4 linked regions of the Anolis sagrei genome follow. The protein of the gene in region 1 interacts with the protein of each later gene in a biochemical or structural test. Links are inferred from orthologs where the notes say so. Each region holds a gene or a part of one and is shown in the gene's direction. Other genes may lie near its edges.

Region 1 (7,396 bases):
TCGAGGCTCAAATTGACAGCATCTTTGGAGTCCAATCCCAACATGCAATGAGGAATAAGCTGTGATTGTGTTGTTTTCAAGAAAGAAAACATGAGATCAAGTTTTGCAAGTTAACACCAATGATCCAATTGAAATAAGAAATACCAGGATTGCAGTATTAAGAAAATTTCCACCGCAGATAATAAAGAAATAATAAATTGCTTTTTTCTGACAGATAAACTTAAGAAGGCCAAGGAGAAAGAGATGTTGGAAACAGCAACCTTACAATCCTTCACTAACTGTTTGTTAATATATATTTGTTAACCTGCATTCTATGTGTATGTTGATTTTCCAGTTTGGCTTTCCTCTTTGTTGTGGGAGGGGCTTCAGACCTGGACTCAATTTTGTAGTTTGCTTTTGGACTTCAATGAGGTAGATGTTTACTTTTGGACTTCAATGAGATATGTTTGGTTTCAGACTTCACTGGAGGTGGATGTGTGTGCTCAGGGATTTGAGTGAGTACAGATATGCCTAAAGACATTTTAAATACTATGTGCCTGTATACTGAATATATACAAGTTTGTTAGTAAACAAGTTATATTTTTTTTTCAAAGAAGACTACTTTGTTTTCTCTCTTGAGTGCATGTTTTAAGGGAGTGTATATCTTTTGGGCAACTGCAAATTCTATTTCAAACAAACATCCTCTGCTAACCAGATAGATTTTTGTAGTGGCCTGTCTTTATCCATAACCGTTTAAAGACATGGTTCCTAAGTTTAACACTTGAGCTACCCATGGCGCTATCACATGAATGCTTTATGAATATCAGTTGTCTTAAGGTTTGACTTCTAACAAGGTCACGCCATTCCTGACTTGTGGTTTTCAAGTGGTCTCTAAGTTCATAGAGATTCAAATTTTCCCAAACGGAGGTGACATCATTTTTATCTTTTCAATAAGGTTATCGTGCACTGAAATTTCCAATAGATTGTGGGCTTTCCAATAAGAAAACATCCAAGAAGGCAAGAAGAGAAGGCAACCTTAATAAGGAAGATGTTCAACTACAGTAGCAGGCCACTCCACGTGATGAATAATTGGATGATCATCTACTATTTTAAGATCAAGGACTTTAAATATATTTTCTTTAAATATCAATGGACTAAATTCACCAAACAAGAGGAGGTGAGCTTTTCATTATTTGTGATTACCGGAAACATGAAGTAATTCCCTCTCAAGATTTATGGATTACAAAAATGATGGATCAGGTAGAAATTGACAAATTGATCAAGTTTATACAATTAGAAATGGACAGACTGACTAGGCATATAAAACTGCCAGATCCTTCTAAATCTGAAGAAGAATGGCAGCCTTTTATTTACTATTTAAAAGAAGAAAAGAAAATGAAAATATCGGGTTTTCTATAGCACCAAGGGAAAATTAATAGTGCAAAGGAAGAACAAGAAAATAAAAAAATAAGAGAATTCAGTGACAAGAATAACAGGATCCTCAATGGTATCCAAGAGATCCTGCAAAGTTAATCTACCAGAGATATGAAGTTTTATGACAACAATAATAGGTTTTTTCATTATAAAGAGGACAGCAGAGACAGGGTAGAAAGTGCTAGTTAGGACTTTTCATTTTCCATTTCTCAACTTTTCTATCTCCTTTGTTTCAAAACAACATATGCACACTTTTTATTCTAATTTTAGATTAGAAAAGTTATTTTATTATTATTTCTCTATATTTTCACATCATAAAACCTTTTAGTATTAGACATGGCAATGGAAAAACACAAAAAGATAACATGTTCAAAATGGAATGTTGGTGAACAGCAAAAGAGATTTAAAGATGGGTTTAAAGAAAACTTTAAAAAATGCGGAATAAACATGGAGAACAGGGAAGGCCCTGGGGCTCTAACATTGTAACTTACCAGCAGTGCTGTAGATTTTGAAGAGGCACAAATAGAGGGTGAATCCCTTGTTGGCTCCCCCTTCCATCTGGAAATGTGTGTTCTCGTTTTGAAAGTTCCTAGGGATCCAGAATAGGAGTCACTGCAAAGACTACCCTTGAAAGACAACCCTACTTTGCCACTTATGATTGTCCATGATGATGATGATTTGCATAATGTTGAAGGCTTTTATAGCCAGAATCACTGGGTTGCTGTGAGTTTTCTGGGCTGTATGGCCATGTTCAGAAACATTCTCTCCTGACATTTTGCCCACATCTATGGTAGGCATCCTCAGAGGTTGTGAGGTATATTGGTATATTAGTTTCCAACAAATCTCACAACCTCTGAGGATGTCTGCCATAGATGTAGACAAAACATCGGGAGAGAATGCTTCTGGAATGTGGCCATACAGCCTGGAAAACTCACAGCAACACAACATAATGAATTATGGGTTGTTGTAAGTTTTTCGGGCTGTATGGACATGTTCCAGAAGCATTATCTCCTGACATTTTGCCTGCATCTATGGCAGGCATCCTCAGAGGTTTTGAGGTCTGTGGGAAACTAGGAAAATGGGGTTTATATGAAACTGCTAGGCCATCAAATGCTAATCAGGGTGGCCAATGGAAACATTCACACCTACCTCCAACAGACAAGAGTTCTTTCTCCCACCCTGGACATTCCACAGATATATAAACCCTGTTTTCCTAGTTTCCAACAGACAACCCAGTGATTCCAGCCATGAAAGCCTTCGACAATATAATGAATTATCTTAGAAATGTGATGTAAGTCTAAAGACGCAATTCATTGGTTTTATGCACAGCTCTCACACTCATAGGCCCAAAGGTAGTGTCATGCACTATGGATCCCAATTGTGTGCCTGCAACAAAGTTTTTGTTCATTGTACCACCCAAACTGTGGCCAGTTTGGGGCGTTCCCAATTGTCATGTATCATGTCCTGCAGTTCATGGTGGTTGGTGGTAGCAGACCCAACAGTTGGTGATGGAAGAGTTAATGTAAGTCTTAGTTCTAAAGGGCTGAGTAATTTGTAACTAACAGTTTACAGGTAAACGCAATTAAGAGTGGCAGGATGCAAAGGATAGGTTGCAGTTGGGTGTTACTGGTTTTAAGGAGCTGACCTCGGGGCTGATCTTTGGGAGAAAAGTATTTGTTTTATGTTGGTAGTATATGCTGCTGGTTTTTCCTAAGTTTTCTGGATTTTTGGTGTCCTGACCTGTCTCCTGAACTCTTGGAACCCTGGAACCTTGAATTTTTGGATTGGCTTTTGACTATTGTATAGACTTTTGACTTCTCTCACTAAACTCTCGGCATTTGACCACTGGACTGGACCCTTTGACTACGGTGCAGTGTTTACTATCTGTTTTGGATAAAAGTATGATAGCTGGGACCGAGTGCAGGTAGCACTTTGCTGATTCTGCAACGCTGCTTCGCCAATGCTGATAGCACAATGCGGTGAGCCCAACTCAGGTCAGAAGGGGAGGGAGGGAAAACAGAAAGGGGGGGCAACAAACAGGGAAGCATTGCACTTAAGGCAAGTAAAGCAATATTTGAGCGGGAATGGTAAAGCAACTACAAACTTGCAGACTCTGTCCTGCCTGCGTATCTCACTCCACCTGGTCTCACTCCACCCAGTCTCTTGACCACACACGTGTTCCTCATTCACAACCACCATTGCGCAATCAGCGTAGCACTATCTGCACTCGGTCCCAGCTATCATACTTTTACCCAGTTTTGTTTTATATTATGTGGCTTCCTGCTATCTTTATTTTTTATATTTTGGACTATTAAAACAGCCAGAAACGAAGTGCTGCTTTAATTAAACTGTTAGAAACAAGCTGGGTGTTTGTTTGATTCACCTCTGCCTGAATACTGGCAGAGCCCTGGCATGGTGGCACCAATAAAGGATGCTCGGCTGTTGTGTGGAAGGGCGTTTCCGTCCTCCATCGGGGCGGTGGGAGTAGGGGGTCTCGTGGGGCGAGAACCCGGCCCCTCCTTCCTTTGTGTGGCGCCCCCTCCCCTCCTCATTACTCCCCTCCCCATTCCTCCCCCCGGCCCCTCGTTTCGCGGCTGTAGCCGAACCAAACCCAGAAGAAGGGCCTGATGGCGGCCCCAAGCCCGAAGGCAGCCCGAGACCTTCAGAAGGAGGCGGGCGCGACCCTAAATAGAGAAGGAAGGAAATGGGAGTGTGCTGCCTCGGCGGGGAATTCATACCGACGAGGGAGGCCCTGCCCAGCGCTGAAAGGCAGAGGAGGTGGTTTGATTTCCCTGGAGGAAGCAGCACGCTCTAAAAATACACCAGGGGCGACTCCCCCACCCAAAGCAGGCGGGCGGGCGGGCGAGCTTCCTCCTCTCCTCCTCCCTCCCTCCCTCCCTCCTTCAGCCCCACAGAGAGAGAGAGACCTCGGCGCTGGCTTTCTCCTTCTCCCTCCCGCGCTTGGCCCCGCCCCTCTGGGCGTGATTGACAGCCTCCCCAGCCCACCGCGAGGCCGGACCCGCAGTCGGGGGCGCGAGGGTTGAGCCCTATCAGCTGCTCCGGGAGAGGCTGGAGTGACGAGCGCCCGGGGCTGCGTTGGGCGTGGGTCCCTTCTCCTTCTTCTTCTTCTCCTTCCTCCTCCTGGTCGTCGTGCCCCGGCCTTGTCGCACCCACGCCGGAGCCGTGGCGGCCCGGGGCTCGGGGCCAATGCGGGGAGGGCGACGCAAAGAGGGGGCTCCGCCGCCGACGCCTCCGTGGGAAGCCCGCCCCTGCCTGGAGGGACCCACGGAGAACTGAAGGCTTGCCAAAAGAGGCGCCTGGGGTCTCTAGCCCTGCCCCGCCCTTCCCCACGCGCGAACTTTGCTCCCTTTTGAGAGCCCTCCCGGAAAAGTGGGAGGGAAAGAGCCTCGTGGGAAAAGACGGCGGCGAGTAGAAGGTGAGGGGCACCTTTCTCCTTTCAGTTTGTGGGGGATCTTTGAAGGGGTGGAGAGAGAGCGAAAGAGACTGGGGATAGCGTGGGAGAAAACCCCCTTTCCCTCTTCCCCCTTCCACGCGCGCCTTTCGGCTTGTAAAGTCATTCATGAGGGCGAGTAGGCAAAGGCGGCCGACTCTTCCTCCTTCCTTCCTTCCTTCCTTTCCTTCCCTCTCTCCCTTGGCTGGGATTGTGCCTTGCTGGCCCTCCGCCCCCCACCCCTTTCCCCCTTCCAAAGGCAAAGGCTCCTTCGGTCTCCTCTCCTCTCTTCCCGGGCGGGGCTGCCGCAGCGCCTCCCCAGTGCGGCTGTGTGGCTCTTTTGGAGGGAAAGAAAGAGGGGCGCGCTTTTGGAGACGGAGCCCTCGAGGGGAGCGCGCGCTCCTCCCCCCCTTCCCTCTCTCCCCCTCCCTCCGTGGGGGCGCGGGGTGGGTCTGGTCGTCGGGGGGGGGGGGTTGAAGGGAGTCGCCGCTGGTCTCCGGGCGCCGAGGTGCTCAGGCTCCTCCCCTTTGTTGTCAGTCCTTCGGTTGCAAAAGGAATCCTAGACTTAGCAGAGACCCCAAGGGCCATCCAGTCCAACCCTCTGCCATGCAGAAACACACTGTTAAATCTGCCTAGCCCTAATCTTTTGGGTCATTGTAGGTTTTTGGGGCTATATGGCCATGTTCTAGAAGCATTCTCTCCTGACGTTTCACCTACATCTATGGCAAGCATCCTCACAACCTCTGAGGATGCTTGCCATAGATGCAGGTGAAACGTCAGGAGAGAATGCTTCTAGAACATGGCCATATAGCCCGAAAAATCTACAACAATCCAGTGATTCCAGCCATGAAAGCCTAATCTTTTGATTGGCTCTCCAGCACTTTATTCCCAGCCCTACAGTGTTGCATTTGCACCAGCCCTTGTCGTGCCCTATTAGTCTCAAATCTGCACAGGCCCACCTTTTCCCCCCCAACTACTGGTTATTTGATGTCTGGTCTATGTTTTATGATGTTTTACATTTCATTGGTTTTACTGTTTTAACATATTTTACTCTTCTATGTTTTTGATTGCGTTAGTTGAGCCCTCAGTGACGCAATGGGTTAAAGCCATGTGCTGGCAGGACTGTTGACTGACAGCTCAGCGGTTCAGTATCGGAGAGTGGATTGAGCTCCTTTTGTCAGCTCTAGCTCCCCATGCGGGGACATGAGAGAAGCCTCCCACAAGGATGGTAAAACATCCAAACATCTCGGCATCCCCTGGGCAACATCCTTGCACAAGGCCAATTCTCTCACACCAGAAGTGATTTGCAGTTTCTCAAGTCGCCCCTGACATGAAAAAAATAGCTGTTTAAATATATTTTACTGTTATATGTGTTTAATAGTGTTATTCCTAACCTTTGTTTATATTGGGCTTGGTCCCCATGTAAGTGGTCCCTTCGGGGAGATGGAGGTAGGATATAAGAATAAAGATATTATATTATAAAGTGATCAAGACACCCCGACAGATTTCGATCCAGCCTCGGCTTAAAGCTCTCAAGAGAAGGAGACTCCACCAGCTTGCAAGGCAGCAGCACATTCCACTCTCTAACCGCTCTTCCTGTCAGGAAGTTCTTCCTTGTGTTTAGGTGGAATCTCTCTGTATTCCTGCGGTTTGAACCCATTGCTCCATTATGTCCCAGACTCCAGAGCTGCAGAAAGAGAGTCTTCAGGTATTTACACTAGGCTGCAGTCCCCTGGTGGTGCAGCGGGTTAAACTGCTGAGCTGCTGAACTTGCTGACTGAAAGCTCTGTGGTTCGAATCCAGCGAGCGGGGTGAGATCCCGCTGTTAGCCCCAGCTTCTGTCAACCTAGTAGTTCGAAAACTGCAAATGCAAGTAGATCAATAGGTACTGCTCCGGCTGGAAAGTAACAGTGCTCCATGCAGTCATGCCAACCACAAGACCTTGGAGGTGTCTACGGACAAAGCTTCGGCTTACAAATGGAGATGAGCACCAACCCCCAGAGTTGGACATGACTAGACTTCATGTCAGGGGAAACGGTTACCTTTTACTGTCCCCTGTCTGCCTTCTTTTCTCTAAGCTAAACAGACCAGGCTCCATCAGCCTTCCTCATTTTGGTCATCCTTTTCTGGACACCTTCTTTTAAGGAGATCCTAACAGTGGCTGCACATGCTGAATAGATCCTGTGCAGAAACCTATCCTAGAGTGGGGAGGGGTTGTGTGAGAGAGTGAGGCATGTGTTCAGATGATGTGACCAGGGGGCAGTGGGTGCTTGTTTTGCGTGTCAGCCTTTTGCATGTTCCTTAAGGGCTGCCTTTCCTGTCTGCAGAAGGAATTAGGCTCCCAGGAGAGGGTTTTCCAACAGCGTTTGCTGTGCCTCTGAGCCTTGGGGGCAGGTAAGTGAGGAGGCAAAACAATCTGCTTTTTTTGCCTCCCTCTCTCTCTCCTCTTCAGTTTTACTGACTTTACCTTCTGTAAACACTTCCTGTCAGCCCAGAAAACATGGGGTGGGGGAAAGAGCAAGAGGAGAGGAG
Region 2 (7,968 bases), on another chromosome or scaffold:
GGTCAAGTCTACTTAATTAAGAATTCAGGTACACGTGAACTGTTTCACATTTCAAAACAATGCTGAAAACCAGAGAAGAGAGTCTAGGCCAGGCATGGGCAAACTTTGGCCCTCCAGGAGTTTTGGAACCCAATTCCCACAATTCCTAACAGCTGGTAGGCTGTTACGGATTATGGGAGTTGAAGTCCAAAACACCTGGAGGGCTGAAGTTTGCCCATGCCTGGTCTAGGCCCAGAAACCTCTGCCCTAAAGTGTATCTACACTGCAGAATGAATGCAGTTTGACACCACCTTAACTGCCATGGCTCAGTCCTAGTAGCTGTAGTTTTACAGATCTTTAGCTTTCTGTGCCAGAATGGTTAATGCATCACCAAACTGTAAATCCCAGGATTCCCTAGCATTGCACCATTGCAGTTAACGTGGTGTCAAACAGCATTAATTCAACAGTATAGCTGCATCCCTAGAGGGATCTTAAAGGAGTGAATGTGAAACAGAGAACAGAAGAGAAGAGGAATTCTGTTTAGCAGGAATAAGAATTCTGCACTTGTACTTTGTGGACTGTGCAAAGCATTGGAACACTGTATGTGCCAGGTTCAGTATAAAATAAGCAATATTGCTGCTGTTTAATTACAAGTTTGATTTAATTCTGCAAATTGTTTACACCTTTGCTGTTTATATTTACAGTGTTTATTTCTAATTGGCTCCATAGATCCCAAGGAAGTGGTGTATAGGCTTTACTGACTTAGGCTATATCCACACTACATAATTATAGCAGTTTTACATCATGTTAACTGCCATGACTCAATGCTATGGAATTTTTGTGTAGTTTTGTGAGATGTTTACCTTTTTCTGTCAGAGAGCTTTAGTGCCACAAAAAGCTGCAAATTCCAGGATTCTATTGGATCGACCCATGGAAGGTAAAGTGGTATCAGACAGCTGCAATTCTCCAATGTGGTTAGTCTTTTAGTCATTTTGTCTGAATTATAGAGTTGGAAGAGACCTCATGGGCCATCCAGTCAACCCCCTGCCAAGAAACAGGAAAATCGAATTCAAAGCACACCTGACAGGTGGTATTCAACCTCTGTTTGAAAGTCTCCAAAGAAGGAGCTTCCACTACACTCTGAGGCAGAGAGTTCCACTGCTGAACAGTTCTCACAGGAAGTTTTTCCTAATGTTCAGGTGGTATCTCCTTTCCTGTAGTTTGAAGCCATTGTTCCGCATCCTAGTCTCCAGGGCAGCAGAAAGTCAAGGATGCTCTTTTCATTGAAAGACAATTGGCTCTTGGTACTCATAGATTTAGCCACTGACAGCTTGATTTTTTTTTAAACAAACTTTCATGTAAGGGACACCATTTACTATGCCATTGTATATAACAAGACTTGCGTTTCCATGGATTTTGGTAACCATGGAAGGTCCTAGTACCAATTCCCAGCAAATATCAAAAGCCCACTGTATCTTCTGCTATAATGCAAAACATGGGGATAATCTTAGTGTGCAAATGATATTCATTAACCTTACAAAAAGACCATTTCTGGTGGTGGGAGATTGATCGAAATAGTTTGTTGTTATGCATAGATATAACTGCCTGCACTATTAGGTCATAAGGAGCACCTGCATTTCAAAAATTACCATTAAGCCACTGGGTTGTCTTTGTACTATGAGAGAAGATAATGGAAAACATGAAAAGAAACCAGACCTTGGTGGAAACTTACTGCACATAGAACATGCTGCAAAGAATGGAGCCTTTTCTCCCAGGGCATGAAACTCCTGAGAGATCTAACCTCACTATGCCTGTCTGTACACAGCTTAATGGGTTTTCTGCCCCTAGTGCCAAAGATGTACAAAGCCAAGACGGCTTGGTGTATTTTCGTGAGGCTTTCTGTCTCTTTATCCAGCTGATGAAGCCTCCTCTAAAGTCCTTGAATCTGGTTTAATGAGAGCCCATCTACCTTTGTGAAGGAAAGAGGGAGCATTTCATTTATTGTAGAAGAAAGGGATGGGCACATAATACAATTCCTGCACTGCTCCAGGAGGCTTTTATTATTTTTTTCTGGATGAGAAAATGTCTTTTACAGATGCAGAAAAATACTTACACTGGAAGGACGTTGGAATAATTGACCTTCAGAGGTCCTTTTCAACTCCAATTCTATGACTCTCTTCTGTTATTATCATTCACATACTTTTTATGTTTTTTCAATTCTATCCCTTGTAATTTGGCCCAGACTGCTGTGCACATTTCTATTATTTTATTTCATTACCTGTGTTTGACTTTGTATTACCTTGTTTTGTCTACATTTTATTTCATGTTTATTATTTGCAGCATGTATTTTATTTTGATCTGTTGTAATTGTTGGGCTTGGCCTCATGTTAGCCACTCCAAGTCCCCTTTGGGGAGATGGTGGTGGGATAATAATAATAATAATAATAATTATTATTATTATTATTATTATTATTATTAACACAACAAGATGAGTCCACAGCAGACACTCTGCTGGCTGTTGTATTAGATCATGCATCGGACACTTCCCAAGTGTCTAGGACTGTGTGATTTATCAGCGAATAATGCATGCAGATCCCAGTATGGTGGCCTTCTGCAGCTGGCAAATGGTAATATTGTCAGCGCTGATTGTGTTTAAGTGCAGGCCAAGGTCTTTAGGCACTGCATCCAGTGTGCCAATCATCATTGGGACCACCTTGACTGGTTTGTGCCAGAGTCTTTGCAGTTTGAGCTTTAAATCCTCATATTGTGTCAGCTTTTCCAGTTGTTTCTCTTCAATCCTGCTGTCACCTGGGTTTGCAACATTGACAATCCATACTTTGTTTTTTAACATGATCATGAGGTCAGGAGTGAGGTGCTCCAAAACTCTGTCTGTCTGAATTCAGAAGTCCCAGAGGAGTTTGATGTGTTCATTTTCTGTAATTTTTTCCGGCTTGTGATCCCACCAGTTCTTTGTTGCAGGCAGATGGTATTTGCGGCACAACTTGTTATTATTATTATTATTGTTGTTGTTGTTATTGTTATTATTATGTTATTGTTTGCCTTGAGGTCTTTTTTGACCTAGGGGTGCATCTACACAAGAGAATTAATGCATGCAGTTTGACACCCCTGTAGCTACCACAATTCACTACTATAGAATTATAGAAGTTGTAGTCGTACTCCAATGCTCAAACATAGGCTCCTATTTATTATTAGTTTTTACCAATCCATCAAAAAGCCCTGGAAACCTTCCCTTCCTCCAGGACTAAAAAAGAAAAAAAAACCTTGGGTATATTATCTTGGTCAATGGCCAGCAATGAAAAAACACAATATAGAATAAGGAAAACATAAAGTAAGGCAATAAAATGTCAGTATTTGAACTAGAGCAAAGAAACAATGTGAAATAGAAAAAGTTAAAAACCAATGATGAATAAGCCTTTGACAACACAATGACAACACAATACTGTACTCTCAGGGCTCTTCCACTGAGGGCCCTTTCATACAGCCCTATATCCCAGAATATCAAGGCAGAAAATCCTACAATATTTGCTTTGAATTGGGGTATCTGAGTCCACACTCAGATAATGTGGGATTTCCTGCCTTGATATTCTGGGATATTAGGCTGTGTGGAAGGACTCACAATCATATAACTCAGATTATTGAGGCAGAAAATCGCTGAAGACCTTCAGAATATACAATATTTTCTGTTGGCAATGGGGGTTCTGTGTGGGAAGTTTGGCCCAATTCTATCATTGGTGGGGTTCAGAACACCCTTTGATTATAGGTGAACTATAAATCCCAGCAACTACAACCCCTAGATGTCAAGGTCTGTTTTCCCCAAACTCCACCAGTGTTCATATTTGGACATATTGAGTGTTTGTGCCAAGTTTGGTCTAGATCAATCATTGTTTGAGTCCACAGTGCTGTCTATATCTAGGTGAACTCCAACTCCCAAACTCAAAGTCAGTGCCCACCAAGCCCTTCTAACATTTTCTGTTGGTCATGGGAGTTCTGTGTGCCGAGTCTGGTTCAATTCCATCGTTGGTTGAGTTCAGAATGCTCTTTGATTGTAGACGAACTATAAATCCCAGCAACCACAACTCCCAAATGATGACATCAATCTCCCCCAAACCCACCAGTATTCAAATTTGGGCATATTGGGCATTTGTGCCAAATTTGGACCAGTCAATGAAAATCCATCCTGCACAGGCTCGTAGCCAGGATTTTGATTTGCGGGTGGGGGCTGAGTTTGATTGGGGGTGCTGAGGTTGATTTTGGGGAGGGGGGCAGAGGATCTACCCTAGCAAACCTTTGGTATCATTATCCCAATACCCCCATGCCTATGGGATATATTGATCATGGTGATCAGATCATGATATGAATAAACACAACAGTTTAAATAATGTACCAGTAAGGCCTTCTCATGGACCACCCTGAGAATTTCGGGGGGGGGGGGGGCTGAAGCCCATCAAGCCCCCCCCCCCCGGGCTACATGCCTGATCCTGCATATCAGATATTTACATTCATAACAGCAGCAACATTGCAGTTATGAAGTAGCAACAAAAATAATGTTCTGGTGGGGGGTCACTACAACATAAGGAACTGTATTAAGGGGTCAGGGTATTAGGTAGGTTGAGAACTACTGGTTTAACCCATTGCACCACCGGGGACTCCCCCATTCCTGGTTAAAGATAGTCATACCTTTAATCCTTGCACATTAACCAAGCTATTGCTGCTGCACGATGCGTAATAAGCCTCTGAGCATGTGCAGAATGCCTTTCTCCCCAAACTTTGTTGTATTTTTGGTGAGCTAAAGAGGAGTCGGGAGTTGTAGTGCGGAGAAGGATGGAGAAAGACCTGGTGGAAGGACAGCTCCCGGGAGGGGCTCCCTAGAGAGGCAGGAGTGGTGTCAAGGCGCATTAGCCCCGCAGACAGGGGCCCGGCGAGGCCGCGGGGCCTGGCTCCTCCTCCTCCTCCTCTTTTGCAGGTCCCTTTAAGAGCGCCTGCGCTGCCGGCCAGGTCGCTCTCTCGCAGACTCGGAGGAAGGAAAGAAGCAAGGAAGGGCGGGCGGGCGGGCGGCCTCCCTCTCTCTCCCTCTCCGTCTCTCTCTGCTCCTCTGGGGCCATGGCCATGGCTTCTCCGGCCGTGGGGCAGTTCCCCCCGTATCCGCCGCTGCTTCTGGACAAGGAGCAGCAGCGCTTCCTGCAGAGCCTCAGCGCCTCGGAGAGGAAGAAGCTCCGCAAGCGCTCCCTGCCCGCCGGCAATAGCGACCTCCTGCATCCACAGCAGCAGCAGCAGCAGAGGAGGAGGAAGAAGAGGCAGGCCGGGGGGGCCATGGAGGGGGGCGAGGAAGAGGAGGACGAAGGAGAGGAAGGCGCCCAGGAGGAGCAGCAGCAGCAGGAGGAGCAGGACCAGGAGGAGGAGGAGGGAGGACAGGGGCGCAATGCGGAGCCGCCGCGGGGCGCCAACCTGCGCCTCATCCTCGAGCCTCCCGAGGAGCCCTCGCCCGCCAAGCCCGCCTCGCTCCCCTCTCACCCGCACCACCACCACCACCACCAGCGGCTCCGGCTGAAATGCGGGGCTCCACGGCTGCTCCCCGACGTGCGCACCATCTTCGAGCAGCCCCGGGACCCGCGCGTCCGGCCCGAGAAGGGCGAAGGGCACCGCTTCCAAGGCTTCGCCCTCGTCTGGCGCGGGTGGTGCGACCTGTGCGGGAGGGAGGTCCACCAGCGGGGCCTCCGCTGCGCCAGTAAGTGCGCCAAACAGGGGAGCCGGGGGGCGGGCGGGAAAGGGGCAACCCCGTGCAATGCAAGGACCGGCCCTTCCTGGAAAGTTTGGGTGCCCAGGCCCATTGGACACAACCTAAGGGGCTCCCCACACACATCCACACCTGAACTGCCCACCCCACTTCCCTCCTTGCTTCATATCTACTATTCCAGTGTTTCTCAACCCTCCTAATGCATTAACCCCTTAATACAGATCCTTATGTTGTGGTGACCCCCAACCATAACATTATTTTTGTTGCTACTTCGTAACTGTATAATTTTGCTACTGTTATGAATCTTCATGTAAATATCTGATATGCAGGATGTATTTTCTTTCATAGGGCCTAATTTGGTACAAATACTCGCCCAAATTTGAATACCGATGAGGTTGGGATTGATTTTGTCATTTGGGAGTTGTAGTTGCTGGGGTTTATAGTTAATCTTCAATCAAAGAGCATTCTGAACTCCACCAACGATGGAATTGGACCAAACTTGGCACACAGAACTCCCATGACCAACAGAAAATACTGGAAGGATTTGGCAGGCAATTGACCTTGAGTTTTGGAGTTGTAGTTCATCTACACCCAGAGAGCACTGTGGACTCAAACAATGATGGATCTGGACCAAACTTGGCACAAATACTCAATATGCCCAAATGTGAAGTGAACACTGGTGGAGTTTGGGGGAAATAGACCTTGACATTTGGGAGTTGTAGTTACTGGGATTTATAGTTCACCTACAATCAAAGGGCATTCTGAATACCACCAATAATAGAATTGAGCCAAGTTTACCACACAGAACCCCTGTGACCAACAGAAACTACTGTTTTCTGTTGGTCTTTGGTGACCTCCACAGGGGTCCCAACCCCCAGGTTGAGAAACACTGTACTATTCCTTAGATCAGGCCTGGGCGAGCTTGGGCCCTCCTCCAGATGTTTTGGACTTCAACTCTCACCATTCCTAACAGCCTAACAGCCTCCCCCTTAAGCCTCAGCTGCTTAAGGGGGAAAAGGAAAGGGCCTGACGCTGTTAGGAATGGTGGAAGTCCAAAACATCTGGAGGGCTGAAGTTTTCCCATGCATTCCTTAGCTGCACCTCTTATGAAGCACCTCTTGTGCAGCAGCCCAAACCTATAGACTCCTAAGGCACAGAGGAGCATTTTAAGGGGGTGCTTCTTGATTCTTCCGTACTTGGGGGGTAAAGTTTAGCAACATGTTCACCACATGAGCCTCACCTAGCAGAGCAGACACATTGAGAGACCACCAGTGTCTGGAAGCCTTCCTCCATGTGCCACTCATTCCTTTTAAAAGCTAGACACCCTGATAGAAAACAGGTAAGAAAAGCGTAAGCAGCTGAAGGGGGAAAGGAAAGGGCCTGAGGCTGTTAGGAATGATGGGAGTTGAAGTCCAAAACATCTGGAGGGCTGAAGTTTGCCCATGCCTGCCTTATGCACCTCTTATGAAGCAGCCCAAGACATGGTCCTTCAGATTGTTGTTGTTCATTCGTTCAGTCGTCTCCGACTCTTCGTGACCTCATGGACCAGCCTACGCCAGAGCTCCCTGTCGGCCGTTACCACCCCCAGCTCCCTCAAGGTCAGTCCAGTCACTTCAAGGATGCCATCCATCCATCTTGCCCTTGGTCGGCCCCTCTTCCTTTTGCCTTCCACTTTCCCCAGCATAATTGTCTTCTCTAGGCTTTCCTGTCTCCTCATGATGTGGCCAAAGTACTTCAACTTTGTCTCTAGTATCTTTCCCTCCAGTGAGCAGTCGGGCTTTATTTCCTGGAGGATGGACTGGTTGGATCTTCTCGCAGTCCAAGGCACTCTCAGCACTTTCCTCCAACACCACAGCTCAAAAGCATCGATCTTCCTTCGCTCAGCCTTCCCTAAGGTCCAGCTCTCACATCCGTAGGTTACTACAGGGAATACCATGGCTTTGACTAGGCGGATCTTTGTTGCCAGTCTGATGTCTCTACTCTTCACTATTTTATCGAGACTGGACATTGCTCTCCTCCCAAGAAGTAAGCGTCTTCTGATTTCCTGGCTACAGTCTGCATCTGCAGTAATCTTTGCACCTAGAAATACAAAGTCTGTCACGGCCTCCACGGTTTCTCCCTCTATTTTCCAGTTGTCAATCATTCTTGTTGCCATAATCTTGGTTTTTTTGACGTTTAGCTGCAACCCGGCTTTTGCGCTTTCTTCTTTCACCTTGATTAGAAGGCTCCTCAGC
Region 3 (6,844 bases), on another chromosome or scaffold:
ATATCTAAACTGTTGTAAACCGCTCTGAGTCGCCTAAGGGCTGAGAAGAGCGGTATACAAATAAAGTAAATAAATAAATAAATAAACTACAACTCGCAAATGACAAAGTCATAATTTTTTGAGCGATGGTCACTCCTTGTATTGTGAGACGTTTTGTTCCCAAATTTGGTGTGATTTCGTTCATTGGTTCTTTCGTTTTTAAGATACTCATAATGCACAGAGCATTTTTATATATGTAGATATGAAACAATTTAAAAACCTTGAAAGGTGTGTCTTGAGAAAAAACAGGCCTTTGAGTTTTTCTTGTGTATCCATTAAAAAACATGTTGCGGTGGCTCCACCAAAGGGAGCGGCTGTGGCCGGAGATACGAATAATAATAATAATAATAATAATAATAATAACAATAATAACAATAATAATCCCATGCTGCGTACATTGAGACAATGCAGAGAGTTTGAGTTTTCAATCTGGTCAACAGCAAAAAGCAAGCACGTATGGTCTTCTTCCATTCCAATCGCTTCCTGTTTGTTTATTTCTTATTATTGCTGGAATTTTCCTCTTTTTTGTTTTATTTGTCGGATTTGCTTCGGATAAAAAAGCCGCATTTCTCATTTCTTTGATAACTAAAACCGGCGTCTGTGTGGGGTTGTTCTGGAGCCCTGCTACTTGACGCCCTCGCCCTGCTGCTCGGCCTTATTAGCCTTCTTGAGTCCCTATGTGGAGAAAGGCAGGACAGAAATTAAGATAATCAACATAATATAATAATAAATAAATAAACAAACAAACAGCAGGTTTGATAAGCAACTGGAAAAGGTGGCACGAGACGAGGATTTAAAGATCGAACTGCAAAGACTCTGGCACAAGCCAGTCAAGGGGGTCCCAGTGCAGATCGGCACACTGGGTGCAGTGCCTCAAGACCTTGGCCTACACTTAAAAACAATAGGCAGTGACCAAATCACCATCTGTCCGCTGCAAAAGGCCACCCTACTGGGATCTGCACACATTATTTGCCAATACATCACACAGTCCTACACACTTGGGAAGTGTCCAACATGTGATCCTATACAACAGCCAGCAGAGTGATCTTGTTTGCTGTGTAACAGTCTTGAGTATTAATGGAGCTGCGGGTGGCGCAGTGGATTAAACTCTCCTGCCGGCAGGATTGCTGACCGACAGGTTGGAGATTCGAATGGGGAGGGCAGAGGAGCTCCCTCTATCAGCTCCAGCTCCCCATGCGGGGACATGAGAGAAGCCTCCCACAAGGATGGCAAAAAACATCAAGCATCCAGACAACGTCCCCTGGGCAACGTCTCACACCAGAAGCAACTTCCCAAGTCACTCCTCACACACACACACACACACTCCAGCCAAATATACATACCCTTCCATATGCTATCTATATATGTGTGTGTTTGTGTGAAATTCCCCCTCTTTGATATACAGGCCCCAAGTTACAAACAAGAGAGGTATGTTAAGTCTGAACCGGTTCCTTTATGAAGTGGCACTCCAGCCAAATCTATATCATTAGCTTTGGATGGCATAGAGGTAGGTGAGCTCCCCTGTGCCTCTGTTCAGAAGGTTCCTCCTGGCTTCCCATCCCTGTGAGAATGTGCCAAGATTGGCTTGTTGTTGACGCAAGGGCTGAGGCGAAGCTCCAGCGGAGACCTGCAGGCCACCAGCGGGAAGGTGTTTTCCTTCCTTCGTGTTGATGTGCTCTTGCCATCCTCAGGGGCCGTGCAAGCCCTTTCCTGCCGCAGCGGGCCCCCGATTCTGCCCCGTGGTGCGTTCCCCCGTTGGCACAGCAACCACACATCCGTCTGTCTCCATGGAGATGGGAGTTGGGTACCCACGGCCTCTTCCTCCGGTTGTAGTGGCATCCTGATACAGGCTGTCCCTCCCCGAGTTTCAAATGACTCTTAGTTAAGACCAGTGAGAAAACAGGAAAGAGGAGGAATCCACCCCTTGGAAGCAAGGGAGATCCACTCCAGAAAGAGTAATCCTTCTCAGCGGGGAAAGGGTTCTTCCGGGATTCTTGATCATATATGTGTGTGTGTGTTGCTGGAGCTACATTTATTTATTTATTTATTTATTTATGTAATGTTATTGTTATTCTTATTGGGTTACTGTAATTTTTTTGGGCCGTCTGGTCATGTTCCAGAAGCATTCTCTCCTGACGTTTCACCTGCATCTATGGCAGGCATCCTCAGAGATTGTGAGGGGATTTTGTCAGCGCCGATTGTGTCCAGGCCAAGATCTTGAGGCACTGCGCCCAGTGTGCCGATCCCCACTGGGACCCCCTTGACTGACTTGTGCCAGAGTCTTTGCAGTTCAGTATTTCAATCCTCATATCGTGTCAGCTTTTCCAGTTGTTTCTCTTCAATCCTGCTTTCACCTGGGATTGCAACATTCATGATCCAACTATGGGTTTTTTTGTTTTTGTTATTATTATTATATATTTTATTCTGGAATTATATTATTATTATATTTTATATTATGATTGGTAATGACTATAGGAACGGAACAATGGAAAACGATATTGGATTGTGGTTTGGACGATGAGACGACACTGAATGGTTTTTGTATAATGCTGGATTGTGAATTGTTTTTATACTGTGTCTTGAATGTTGTTGTTCCTCTGTTGTACACCGCTGTGAGTCGCCCCCGGGCTGAGAACAGCGGTATATAAGTAAATAAATAAATAAATAAATATTTTTACTCTAGCACCATTATTATTGTTTTTATCATCATCATCATTATTATGGGAGCATTATTATTACTATTATTTTGTTTATTTGGGCGCATTATCATTATTCTGTTTATTGGGGGACATTATTATTATTATTATTATTATTATTATTTGACTGACATAAAAACACAGTATGTCACAGCAAATCAGACATATATGCCGGATTTCATATTATTATTATAATATTTTTATTCTGGAATTATATTATTATTATATTTTCACTCTAGCACCATTATTATTGTTTTTATTATCATCATCATCATCATCATTATTATGGGGGCATTATTATTACTATTATTTTGTTTATTTGGGCGCATTATCATTATTCTGTTTATTGGGGGACATTATTATTATTATTATTATTATTATTATTATTTGACTGACACAAAAACACAGTATGTCACAGCAAATCAGATATATATGCTGGATTTCATATTATTATTATTATAATATGGAACAATGGCTTCAAACTACAAGAGAGGAGATTCCATCTGAACATTAGGAAGAATTTCCTGACTGTGAGAGCCGTTCAGCAGTGGAACTCTCTGCCCCGGAGTGTGGTGGAGCCTCCTTCTTTGGAAGCTTTTAAGCAGAGGCTGGATGGCCATTTGTCAGGGGTGATTTGAATGCAATATTCCTGCTTCTTGGCAGGGGGTTGGACTGGATGGCCCATGAGGTCTTCCAACTCTTTGATTCTATGATTCTATGATTATATTTTTTATTCTGGTATTATTATTATTATTATTATTATTATTATTATTATTATTATTATTATATTTTTATTCTAGCATCATCACCATCATAATCATCATTATTATTACTATTATTATTATCGGGCATTATTATTATTTTGTTTATTTGGGGGCATTATTCTGTTTATTGGGGGATATTATTATTATTATTATTATTATTGTGTGTGTGTGTGTTTGCACCCCACTTTCTCTCTCTGCAAGGAGACCCCTTCCTCTTCCCACCCATTGCCAGGAGAGGAGAGCCTGTGCAAAGAAGGGCAGGGTGGTCTGCTGAGGGGTGAGGGGTGGGCTGCCTTTCCTCCCTCCCTCCCAGCTGCCCCTCCCCTCGACCCCTTTCCTGCAGCCCAAGGGGGGTGTGCGGTTGCGGTTGGCTCTGCTTCTGCTGCTGCTGCATGCGCATCCTGGCAGCAAGCGGGAGAGCCTCCTTGGGAGACCATGCCCAGCAGCAGCAGGGGGCCCCCTGCCTCCCTGTTCTTGGTTGAAGCCCCGTTGGAGCAGGGGAAAGGGGGAAGCCGCCGCCACCGCAGCAGGAGCAGCAGGCAGAGATGGAGCCCAAGCCTTTGTTCTGCATGCAGAAGGCGCTGGTGCAGCCCTTCCAGATGTGCATGCTGGACATTCCCCTCAGCCTCCAGCACAGCCAGGAGGAATACTATGTAAGTAGGATTTGTGGCAAAAAGGGGGGGGGGATCCCCACACACACAGGCACGCGCACGCTCACCCCTCCGTGCCCCCACCCACCTATTTCACCTGTTCCCACACTCAAGGGTCTCCGCTGTGGCTGTTGCCTTGGCTCACAGGTGCTCCGGCCTTCGAGTATTATTACTATTATTATTACTGTGGGGATTACTATGATCTCAGTGGACACAGCTGCTCTTCTTCTTCTATTATTATTATTATTGTTATTATTGTTATTATTTGATGATCTTGGTAGACACAGCTGTTCTTCTACTATTATTATTACTGTTATTATTATTATTACTATGATGATGATGATGATCTCAGTGGACATAGCTGCACTTCTATTATTACTATTATTACTATGATGATGATATGATGATGATGATCTCAGTTTACACAGCTGCTCTTCTACTATTATTACTATTACTATTATTATTAGTATGATGGTGATGAGGATGATGGTCTCAGTGGACACAGCTCCTCTTCTTCTACTACTACTACTACTACTACTATTATTATTACTATGATGATGATGATGATGATGATGATGATGATCTCAGTGGACATAGCTGCTCTTCTATTATTACTATGATGATGATGATATGATGATGATGATGATGATGATGATGATGGGGGATATGATGATCTCAGTGGACACAGCTGCTATTCTACTATTATTATTACTATTACTATCATTATTAGTATGATGGTGATGAGGATGATGGTCTCAGTAGACACAGCTCCTCTTCTACTATTACTACTACTACTACTACTATTATTATTATTATTATTATTATTGCTATGATGATGGTGATGATGATGATCTCAGTGGACATAGCTGCTCTTCTATTATTATTATTATTATTATTATTACTATGATGATGATGATGATGATGATGATATAATGATGATCTCAGTGGACACAGCTGATCTTCTACTATTATTATTACTATTACTATTATTATTACTATGATGGTGATGAGGATGATGATCTCAGTGGACACAGCTGCTCTTCTACTATTATTATTACTATTATTATTACTATGATGGTGATGAGGATGATGATCTCAGTGGACACAGTTGCTCTTCTACTATTATTACTACTACTACTACTACTATTATTATTACTATGATGATGATGATCTCGGTGGACACAGCCATTCTTCTACAATTATTATTATTATTATTATTATTATTATTATTATTATTATCTTGGAGGACACAGCCATATCTGTCATATGCAAGGCTGGGATGGGCTGGGGGAGGGCTAATCAGTTGAAGGTTCGAGGGTTGAATGCAAAGTAATGCCTCCACCTTTGTAACTCCTCAACAGATGGCAGTACTGGTATGCGGCAGGTACTGGCTTGTTCAGTAGACTCTCCTCTACAGTTCCATTTTGGCAGGAAGCCTTAGCATTGAACGGTTGTGTTGTTAAATTGCGAAGTATGGAACCCTGCGCAGACGGTCAGTCAATGCAACTTAAGCAACATGCAGTCATTGAATTATTGACAGCAGAAGGTGTCACCTCAACATCTTTAAACTTACTCGCCCAAAGACAAACAGTACTCACGTCAACACAATCCCCATAAACAGCTTGAATCCTCTGATGAATCTCCTTTGGGGGTGACATCTAGGAGTTACAAAGGTGGAGGCATTACTTTTCATTCAACCTCGTAAATCCAGGCAAGACAGAGGTCCTCCTGGTCAGTCGGAAGGTGGATCAAGGTGTTGGATGGGGACCCACTCCCCCTGAAGACATAGGTCTGCAGCCTGGTCCTGACCCTGGACTCATTGCTGAGCTCATTGCTGAACCAGGAGTGCCTTTGCACAGCTTGTGCACCAGCTTGTCCCTCGATACGCCAGACCTGGCCATGGGAGTCCATGCCTTAGTCACATCCTGCTTGGACTGCTGCAATGCTGTCTATGCCTTTGAAGATAGTTCTGAAACTCCAACTGGTTCAGAGATTGATGGCCAGGCTGCTTGCTTACTTACTTAGGCGATCCCTTGTAGCTCGAGGATGATGGTCTTCCAGATGTGGTGTCTTGGCGGTGGGTCTGTAGGTGGCTGTGGAGCCCGCAGTGAGGACGTCGGTTTCCAGACAGAAGGTGGTCCCAGTTGGGGTTGGCTTGACGTGCCTTCCTCTTGGCACATTTTTCCCTTTCGCCCTCCATTCGTGCCTCTTCGAATTCTTCAGCACTGCTGGTCACAGAGCGCTCAAGAGCCAGAGCTTCCCAGTTCTCTCTTGGTGTCTATGTCACAGTTTTTGAGATTGGCTTTGAGCCCATCTTTGAACATCTTTCCCTGTCCACTAACATTATATTTCCTGTTCTGGAGTTTGGAGTAGAGTAACTCCTTTGGGAGACAGTGATCTTTGGGTATTCGGACAACATGGCCTTCAGTCCAGCAGAGTTGGTCCAGATCCATCATTGTTTGAGCCCACAGTGCTCTCTGGATGTAGGTGAACTACAACTCCAAAACTCAAGGTCAATGCCCACTGAATCCTCTCAGTATTTTCTCTTGGTCATGGGAATCCTGTGTGCCAAGTTTGGTTCAATTTCATCATTGGTGGGGTTCATAATGTTCTTTGATTGTAGGTGAACTATAAATCCATCAACTACAACTCCCAAATGTCAAGACCTATTTTCCCCAAACTTCACCAGTGTTCA
Region 4 (7,247 bases), on another chromosome or scaffold:
GAGCTGTTAAATATAAAATGTTGCTAGTTTCAAATGGTTGACACTAATTTGCTGGACATTGTGCAAGATCTTCCATGAAAGAACACAATAATAGCTTATCAAATCTCCTGACTTAAATGATGAATCTGTAATTGTGAGAAATGTGTTTTATTGGCTGGTAATAAATAGATTGATTTTTGTTATTGTTACCATTTTATTTTTGCATACTGAAATATGCACTGTAATTCTGTATCTCTACACAAAGCATTTTAGGTATGATTTTTCCAGTTACACAGTTGTTGTTGTTCATTCATTCAGTCGTCTCCATGACCTCATGGACCAGTCCACGCCAGAGCTCCCTGTCGGCCGTCACCACCCCCAGCTCCTTCAAGGTCAGTCCAGTCACTTCAAGGATGCCATCCATCCATCTTGCCCTTGGTCGGCCCCTCTTCCTTTTACCTTCCACCTTCCCCAGCATAATTGTCTTCTCTAGGCTTTGCTGTCTCCTCATGATGTGGCCAAAGTACTTCAACTTCGTTTCTAGTATCCTTCCCTTCAATGAGCAGCCGAGCTTTATTTCCTGGAGGATGGACTGGCTGGATCTTCTCGCAGTCCAGGGCACTCTCAGAACTTTCCTCCAACACCACAGCTCAAAAGCATCTATCTTCCTTCACTCAGCCTTCCCTAAGGTCCAGCTCTCACATCCGTAGGTGACTACAGGGAATACCATGGCTTTGACTAGGCGGATCTTTGTTGCCAGAGTGATGTCTCTACTCTTTACAATTTTGTCGAGATTGGACATTGCTCTCCTCCCAAAAAGTACGCGTCTTCTGAGTTACACAGTACTTGCAAAAATGAGAGATCCTACCCTGGATATTTTTTTAAAATGGTAAATTGGACTGAAAGCACTGTCAGAAAAGGAATACAAAATAAAACTGCCAATAAATACTACACTCACACAGATCTATGGTATGAGGACACTTGGAATAACAGTTCTGGTTACAAAAAGTGCCTCTCAAAATTTATACAGCTGTACAATGATCAAAGGAGTAGAGTAACTCCTCTAAGAGGAAAGAGTATGATATTTGGAGCAGTTTAAGTGAGAGGATGAGGGGAGAAGGTAAAGAGAGATTTATTTATTTATCGTGTCAGAAGTTGATTGAAAATACAGTTATAATGCATTAAAAAAAACACAAAGTGAAAAACTTGGCCAGGGTGAACTTTATACTATAAAATTTATACAAAATTTCCTATGACCAGAAGCTGGCCACTTCGAATGCCTCTGGTTTGGCTGTGAGAAGGCCTTTCTTTCTGCATGTGGCAGTGCTCAGACTGCATTGTAGTAAGTGGTCTGCTCTTCTTCACACTTGCATGTCATGGACTCCACTTTGTGGCCCCATTTCTTAAGGTTGGCTCTGCATCTCGTGGTGCCAGAGCACAGTCTGTTCATCACCTTCCAAGTTACTCAGTCTTCAGTGTGCCCAGGAGTGAGTTTCTCATCAGTCTCGCCCACTGATTGAGGTACCAGGTTTTAGCCTGCTACTTTGGGACTCTCGCTTGCTGAGGTGTCCCTGCGAGTATCTCTGTAGATCTTAGGAAGCTGTTTCTTGATTGAAAGAATTGGCTTGCTGGCTGATATCTGAACAGAGGATGGGCTGGAGATGTCAATGCCTTGGTCCTTTCATTACTGGCTGCTACTTCCTGACGGATCAGGTGGTGTAATACTGGCTAAACAGTATAGTTTCTCCAGTGGCGAAGGGCGTAGACATCCTGTGATACTGTGGCATGTCTCATTAAGAGCCACATCCACTGTTTTAGTGCGGTGAGATGTGTTCCACACTGGACATATGTATTCAGCAGCAGAGTAACAAAGCACAAGGGCAGATGTCTTCACTGTGTCTGGTTGTGATCCCCAGGTTATGCCAGTCAGCTTTTGTACGATATTATTTCCAGCACCCACTTTTTGCTTGGTATTCAGGCAGTGCTTCTTATAAGTTGGAGCACAGACGGGAGTGCCTCCCAGGTATTTGGGTGTGCTGCAATGCTCCAGTGGGATTTCTTCCCAAGTAATCCTCAGCACTTGTCTGTTCTTAAGGTGAAAACCACACGCCTGCATTTTAGATGGATTAGGAATCAGAAGAGGCATGACATTATGCTTGGTGTGATAAATGTTGATAGAAAGAAATGTTCCTACAGGCTTTTTTTTCCTATGAGGAATGGCTTGAGAAACTGCAAGTTGCTTCTGGTGTGAGAGAATTGACCGTTGCCCAGGGGATGCCGGGATGTTTTGATGTTTTACCACCCTTGTGGGATGCTTCTCTCATGCCCCCACACGAGGAGCTGGAGCTGACAGAGGGAGCTCATCCGCGCTCTCCCCGGATTCGAACCTCCGACCTGTCGGTCTTCAGTCCTACCGGCACAAGGCTTTAACCCACTGTGCCACCGAGGGCTCCAGTTCAGTTCAGTTCAGTTCAGTCCAGTCCAGGGGTGTCAAACCGCCTTAATTCTAAGGTGTGTAGATGCACACACACCCCCGACCTGGCCCCGCTCCTCTTTCGGGCCCGTTTCTTCTCTTCCCACGCGACACGAAGGCCTCTTGAAGGAGCCTTGCGGTTGCCTGCTTCCGAGAAACGACCGGCAGCAAAGCAACCAAAAGCATCGCTATAGAGACGCAGCTGCGGAAGGAGCCGGCCAAGACGCCTCCCCCCCCCCTTCCCTCGCTGTTTTGGTTCCCGCCCTTTTGGGTCTCCCTCCCAACTCCTCCTTTAAAGATGGAGCAGCCACCCCGCCGCTTCCCTTGGCCGCATCATTCCAGAAACTTGCATTCATGCAGTTGGATAGCACATCAGACTGTCCTGGCTCACTGCTAGGGAGTCGTGGGAGGTTGTCGTTTCGTGATACGGGGGCCCTCTTGGGCAGAGAAGGGTTAAAATCTTGTCAAACTACAACTCCCCATCTTGAGAACTGGGGCGTCGTCCCTTGCCTTTCGAGGCGGGAGAAGCGGCACGTCCCCCTCTGCGCTGTCTCTTCCACATCCTGCCTCCCACCCGCATAGTTTCCACTCGTGAAAGGGAAACACGAAGGCAGAGTTGGGGACTCTTCGTGTCGGAAACCAACGAGTGACGTTGGGAGTTCACTGTGACCGAAGACTCTCTCTCCGGCTTCCCTGCCTTTGGGTGAATCTCCACTGTAGGATTCACACAGTTCGACACCCATTGAACTCAATGCTTTGGAACCATGGGAGGTTGCAGTCGTACAAGCGGATGCCCCACCAAACGAATCCTTGTGGATTTCAATGGTTTCTTTGTGTAGTCTGGCACGGTGGTTGTTAGAGTGGTCCAGCATTTCTGTGTTCTCAAATATGCTGCCATAGGTGTGGGCGAAACGTAAGGAGAGAATGCTTCTGGAACATGGCCATACAGCCCGGGAAACTAACACCAACTCGATGGGAGTTGAAGTCCAAAACACCTGGAGGACCCAAGTTTGCCCAGGCCTGCTCTATCAGATAGTCATTGAAAAAAAACCATAGCAAATGTGCTGCAGGATGTCCCACAGAAACAAAGTTTTTGTGCACTTTGATAAACGTTTTTCCATGTATTTTTAATGATAGAACCAATTAGGAAACAACCATTTATAAGCCAGGAACAAAAATCGTGTGACATAGTGCAACTCAGGAGGGTTAAGAGACTTATTTCCCTCCTTTCTCCTTTCCTCCCTTTTTCCCTTCCTTCTCTCCCTCCTTCCCTCTCTCCTTCTTTTCTTCCTTCCTTCTTTCCTTCCTCCCCTTCCATCCCCTCCTTCCTTCCTTCTCTCCCTCCCTTTCCCTCCCTCTTTCTTTCCTTCCCTCCCCCCCTCCTTCCTTTTTCCTCCTCCCTTCTTTCCTTCCCTCCCTCCTTTTCTCCTTCCTTCCCTCCTTTTCCCCTTCCTTCCCTCTCCTTCCTTTTTCCCCTCCTTCCTCCTTTCCTCCCTCCCCCTTCCCTCCTTCCTTCCTTCCTTCCTTCCTTCCTTCCTTCCCTTCTTCCCTCCCTCCCTCCCTCCCTCCCTCCTTGGCGCGCTTTTGAGAGTTTGCTGCTTGCGAGTTGCATTCCGCACTCAGTTCAGACGGGCTGGTGTAGACAATAATTAGAGCCAGGGAAGCGACCCCGCTTTCAAGAGAGGCTCTCATTTTCCCAACAAAGACCGCCAGTGAGTTTTCTTCCTGGCAGCCTCGAAAGGGGGGAGGAGGAGGAGGAGGAGAGGGGAAAGGCGGGGAGGGGAGAGAGAGAGAGAGAGAAGTTGAAGAAGTCGGGCGGAAAGTGAGTGGGAGGGGGAAGGCTGCTGCCTCTGCCTGGGAGCGTGGGGATGCGCCCCGGCCTGTGTGCGAGGAGGGGCCCATGGAGATGATCGAGCTGCGGGCGCTGCGGCCGGAGCGGGCCCTGGACCTGACGGAGCCTCGCCCCGCCGTCCGCCTGGAGCGGGCCAACGCGCTGCGGATCTCGCCCAAGGGGAAGGTGCCCGAGATCCTCAGCCGCGTCCGCCTCATCCGCCTCCGCGGCGGGCAGCGCGACCCCCGCCTGACCGAGGAGCTGGGCGAGGGGCACCGCTTCCGGCCCTGCGCCCAGAGCCAGCCCACCTGGTGCGACCTCTGCGGGGAGTTCATCTGGGGCGCCTCCAAGAAGACCCTCCAGTGCCTCCGTGAGTACCCGCGCCTCTCCCACCCTCAGCCAGGGGCCAACTTCGGCCCTCCGGGTGTTTTGGACGACAACTCCCGCCATTCCTAACAGCCTACCGGCTGTTACCGAAGTTGGCCCACGAGGCCTAAATACCCAAAAGCATCCCCCAAACTTTTGTTTTGGCTCTGTTTTTCAATTTCTCACATGTGGAGATATTAGAGGCCAGGCAGCTGGCACCAGATCCTATCTGATCTTGGCATCTAAGCAGGGTCATCCTTGGTTAGTGCTTGGATGGGAGACTGCCAACCAGTGCCAGCTGCTGTTGACTGTATTTCTGAATCAAGAACTAGCAGAACCACCTCTGAATATTCCTTGCCTAAGAATCCTATGAAATTCATGGGGTCACCTTAAGTTGACAAGCAACCCCACTGGAAGGCACATACAAATACACCTATTACAACCTCATCACACTCGAGCATGTATCCACTTTAAGGTCAAGGTTTCCCTTGACATTAAGTCTACCTCTGGGTTGTGGTGCTCATCTCCATTTCTAAGTGTAAAAGTCAACATTGTCCGTAGACGCCTCCAAGGTCATGTGGGTGGCATGACTACAAGGAGCCCGGTTAACTTCCCGCAGAAGCGGTACCTATTAATCTACTCACATTTGTATGTATTCAAACTGCTAGGTTGGCTGAAGCTGGGGCTAACAATGGGAGCTCATCCCATTTGGCGGATTCGAACTGCAGACCTTCTGGTCAGTAAGTTCTGCAGCTTAGAGGTTTAACCCACTGAGCCACCGCAGCCCCTTTGTACAGAATTCTGGGACTTGTAGTTTAGGTAGGAGCCTTTAAACTGCTCATCCAGAAAAGCCATAGGCCTCCCTAAACTACACACCGCAGCATTCTGCAGGAGACAGTCACAACTTTTAAAGTAGATCGAAGTGGATCGATGCTCAAGTGTGATGAGGCTCTTAAGGCAGAAGCTCAGCAGGAACCACCCCTTTCATGTTTTCCTCACTAGTGGAAGAAATGTGTGTGTCTGCCTTGCAGCAGTATGAAAAGATAGAAATTGTACTTGATGCACAATTGGTCATACAAGCTGTTTTATTTTTGTAAGCAATCCAGACTGAATATTAGGAAGAAATTGAGTACTTGATTTTTAAAAAAAGAATGTCCATAAATCCTGTACTAGAAGTGTGTGCCGTCCCTAATTCTTCTAATATTTGATAGTTTTCATACACTCAGGAGTTTTGTCTCTTTTGTAGTAAGTCTATACTTTTTTGTGCATTCTCTTATTTCAACTCCTAGCAACAAAGCTAAAGCACAGAGAGAGAAATGATAGTTGGAGTTGTTTTTAAAGGACATTATGTATTGGATCAAAGTTTGCATGAAAGCGTTGCTTGCAAATTTTGTAGAATTTTCAACTCTAGGAGGAAAAGTGATTAGATTCGCAGTGGTTCTCAACTTGTGGGTCCCCAGATGTTTTGGCCTTCAACTCCCAGAAATCCTAACACTTGATAAACTTGCTCGGATTTCTGGGAATTGTAGACCAAAACACCTGGGGATCCACAGGCTGAGAACCACTGCTAGAGCTAAAATGAAACAGAGTGTTCAGAATTGGCCCATGACCTTGGCCACCCCACCACAGTCAACCCCAAATAGAATGAGTACTTCCTGCTCTGCGTCACCCATAAACTTTCTGGTATTTTTTGCAATTTTGGTGAGAATACATTTTGACAGGTAGTACAATGATTTATTTAGTGACTCTGAATGTAAGGTTCTTCAGAGTCCCTATGGCAACCTGTGTATTAGTCCAAAATATGTCACAGCAGCCCTGGTACATTTGGAAGCTGTCCTGCTCATTCTGCTCAGCAGTATCCTCAGCTTCTGCCCAATCTTGTTCCTGGAGAACATCACTGACTTTGGCTGAAATGTCCCTACCAAAGTTTCCAAAGTCTGTGCCTTCTGGTAGCACAATTCAAAGCATGTCTACAAACCATGAAGTTCAACTAATGTTAGTAAGGCTTTCTTTTAAAGGCGTATGCACAGGATTGCAACTTTAAACCCCAAAAAAGCCTAAAAATATACATTTAAAAATACATTTTAGGCATATAGACTTATTTGACAACTGACTTTTTCTGTATGGAATATAGCACATGAAAGGCTATACGAATGGAAAGGTCAATTGTACTTTGGATGAATATATTTAGAAAATACAATGTTGTTGTCACTATTATTACTATCTGCTCTTTGAAGCGGTCAGGGGTCTTTTCCACACATGCCCAAAAAAGGAAAACCCAAACCACTCAACAATTTGCTTGGCTCTTTGCAGATCTAGTCATTCATATCTGCTTTGACTTGGATGCTGTATTAATATAGATTCAGTGGATGAAACTTTGGCCCGTGTTTGTCCAGTAGCAATCAGTACTTTTCAATTTGTGCAATCCAAGAATGTGAACAGGATTCTTAGAGAGATGAAAGCCACCACATGCAGGTTAGATTAAGGCCCTCACTGGCATATTTTTAAAAAAGGTAGTAGGGGACTGGCTGAAGGAGTAGAGAGATTAATGTCTCATTAAAATAAAGCAAACCTCCAGCTTGCCTGAAGGTGTCTGAT

The links.
Region 2: the proteins of HRAS (region 1) and RASSF5 form a complex in vitro, tested with the Homo sapiens proteins (2 studies listed by BioGRID and IntAct, with this or other methods). The link is inferred for Anolis sagrei from reciprocal best matches to the Homo sapiens genes HRAS and RASSF5.
Region 3: the proteins of HRAS (region 1) and RALGDS form a complex in vitro, tested with the Homo sapiens proteins (4 studies listed by BioGRID and IntAct, with this or other methods). The link is inferred for Anolis sagrei from reciprocal best matches to the Homo sapiens genes HRAS and RALGDS.
Region 4: the proteins of HRAS (region 1) and RASSF1 form a complex in vitro, tested with the Homo sapiens proteins (2 studies listed by BioGRID and IntAct, with this or other methods). The link is inferred for Anolis sagrei from reciprocal best matches to the Homo sapiens genes HRAS and RASSF1.

The regions. Positions count from the first base shown.
Region 1 is NC_090021.1:240,068,667-240,076,062, reverse strand, and holds the start of HRAS (GTPase HRas), read left to right. Parts: upstream 1-4,367; 5' UTR 4,368-4,849; intron 4,850-7,237; exon of another isoform or gene 7,238-7,258; intron 7,259-7,396. UniProt on the Homo sapiens protein: Involved in the activation of Ras protein signal transduction. Ras proteins bind GDP/GTP and possess intrinsic GTPase activity.
Region 2 is NC_090024.1:195,606,935-195,614,902, forward strand, and holds the start of RASSF5 (ras association domain-containing protein 5), read left to right. Parts: upstream 1-4,955; 5' UTR 4,956-5,100; coding exon 5,101-5,725; intron 5,726-7,968. UniProt on the Homo sapiens protein: Potential tumor suppressor. Seems to be involved in lymphocyte adhesion by linking RAP1A activation upon T-cell receptor or chemokine stimulation to integrin activation.
Region 3 is NC_090031.1:18,839,357-18,846,200, reverse strand, and holds the start of RALGDS (ral guanine nucleotide dissociation stimulator), read left to right. Parts: upstream 1-3,828; 5' UTR 3,829-4,044; coding exon 4,045-4,152; intron 4,153-6,844. UniProt on the Homo sapiens protein: Functions as a guanine nucleotide exchange factor (GEF) activating either RalA or RalB GTPases and plays an important role in intracellular transport. Interacts and acts as an effector molecule for R-Ras, H-Ras, K-Ras, and Rap.
Region 4 is NC_090022.1:72,797,012-72,804,258, forward strand, and holds the start of RASSF1 (ras association domain-containing protein 1), read left to right. Parts: upstream 1-4,247; 5' UTR 4,248-4,352; coding exon 4,353-4,653; intron 4,654-7,247. UniProt on the Homo sapiens protein: Potential tumor suppressor. Required for death receptor-dependent apoptosis. Mediates activation of STK3/MST2 and STK4/MST1 during Fas-induced apoptosis by preventing their dephosphorylation.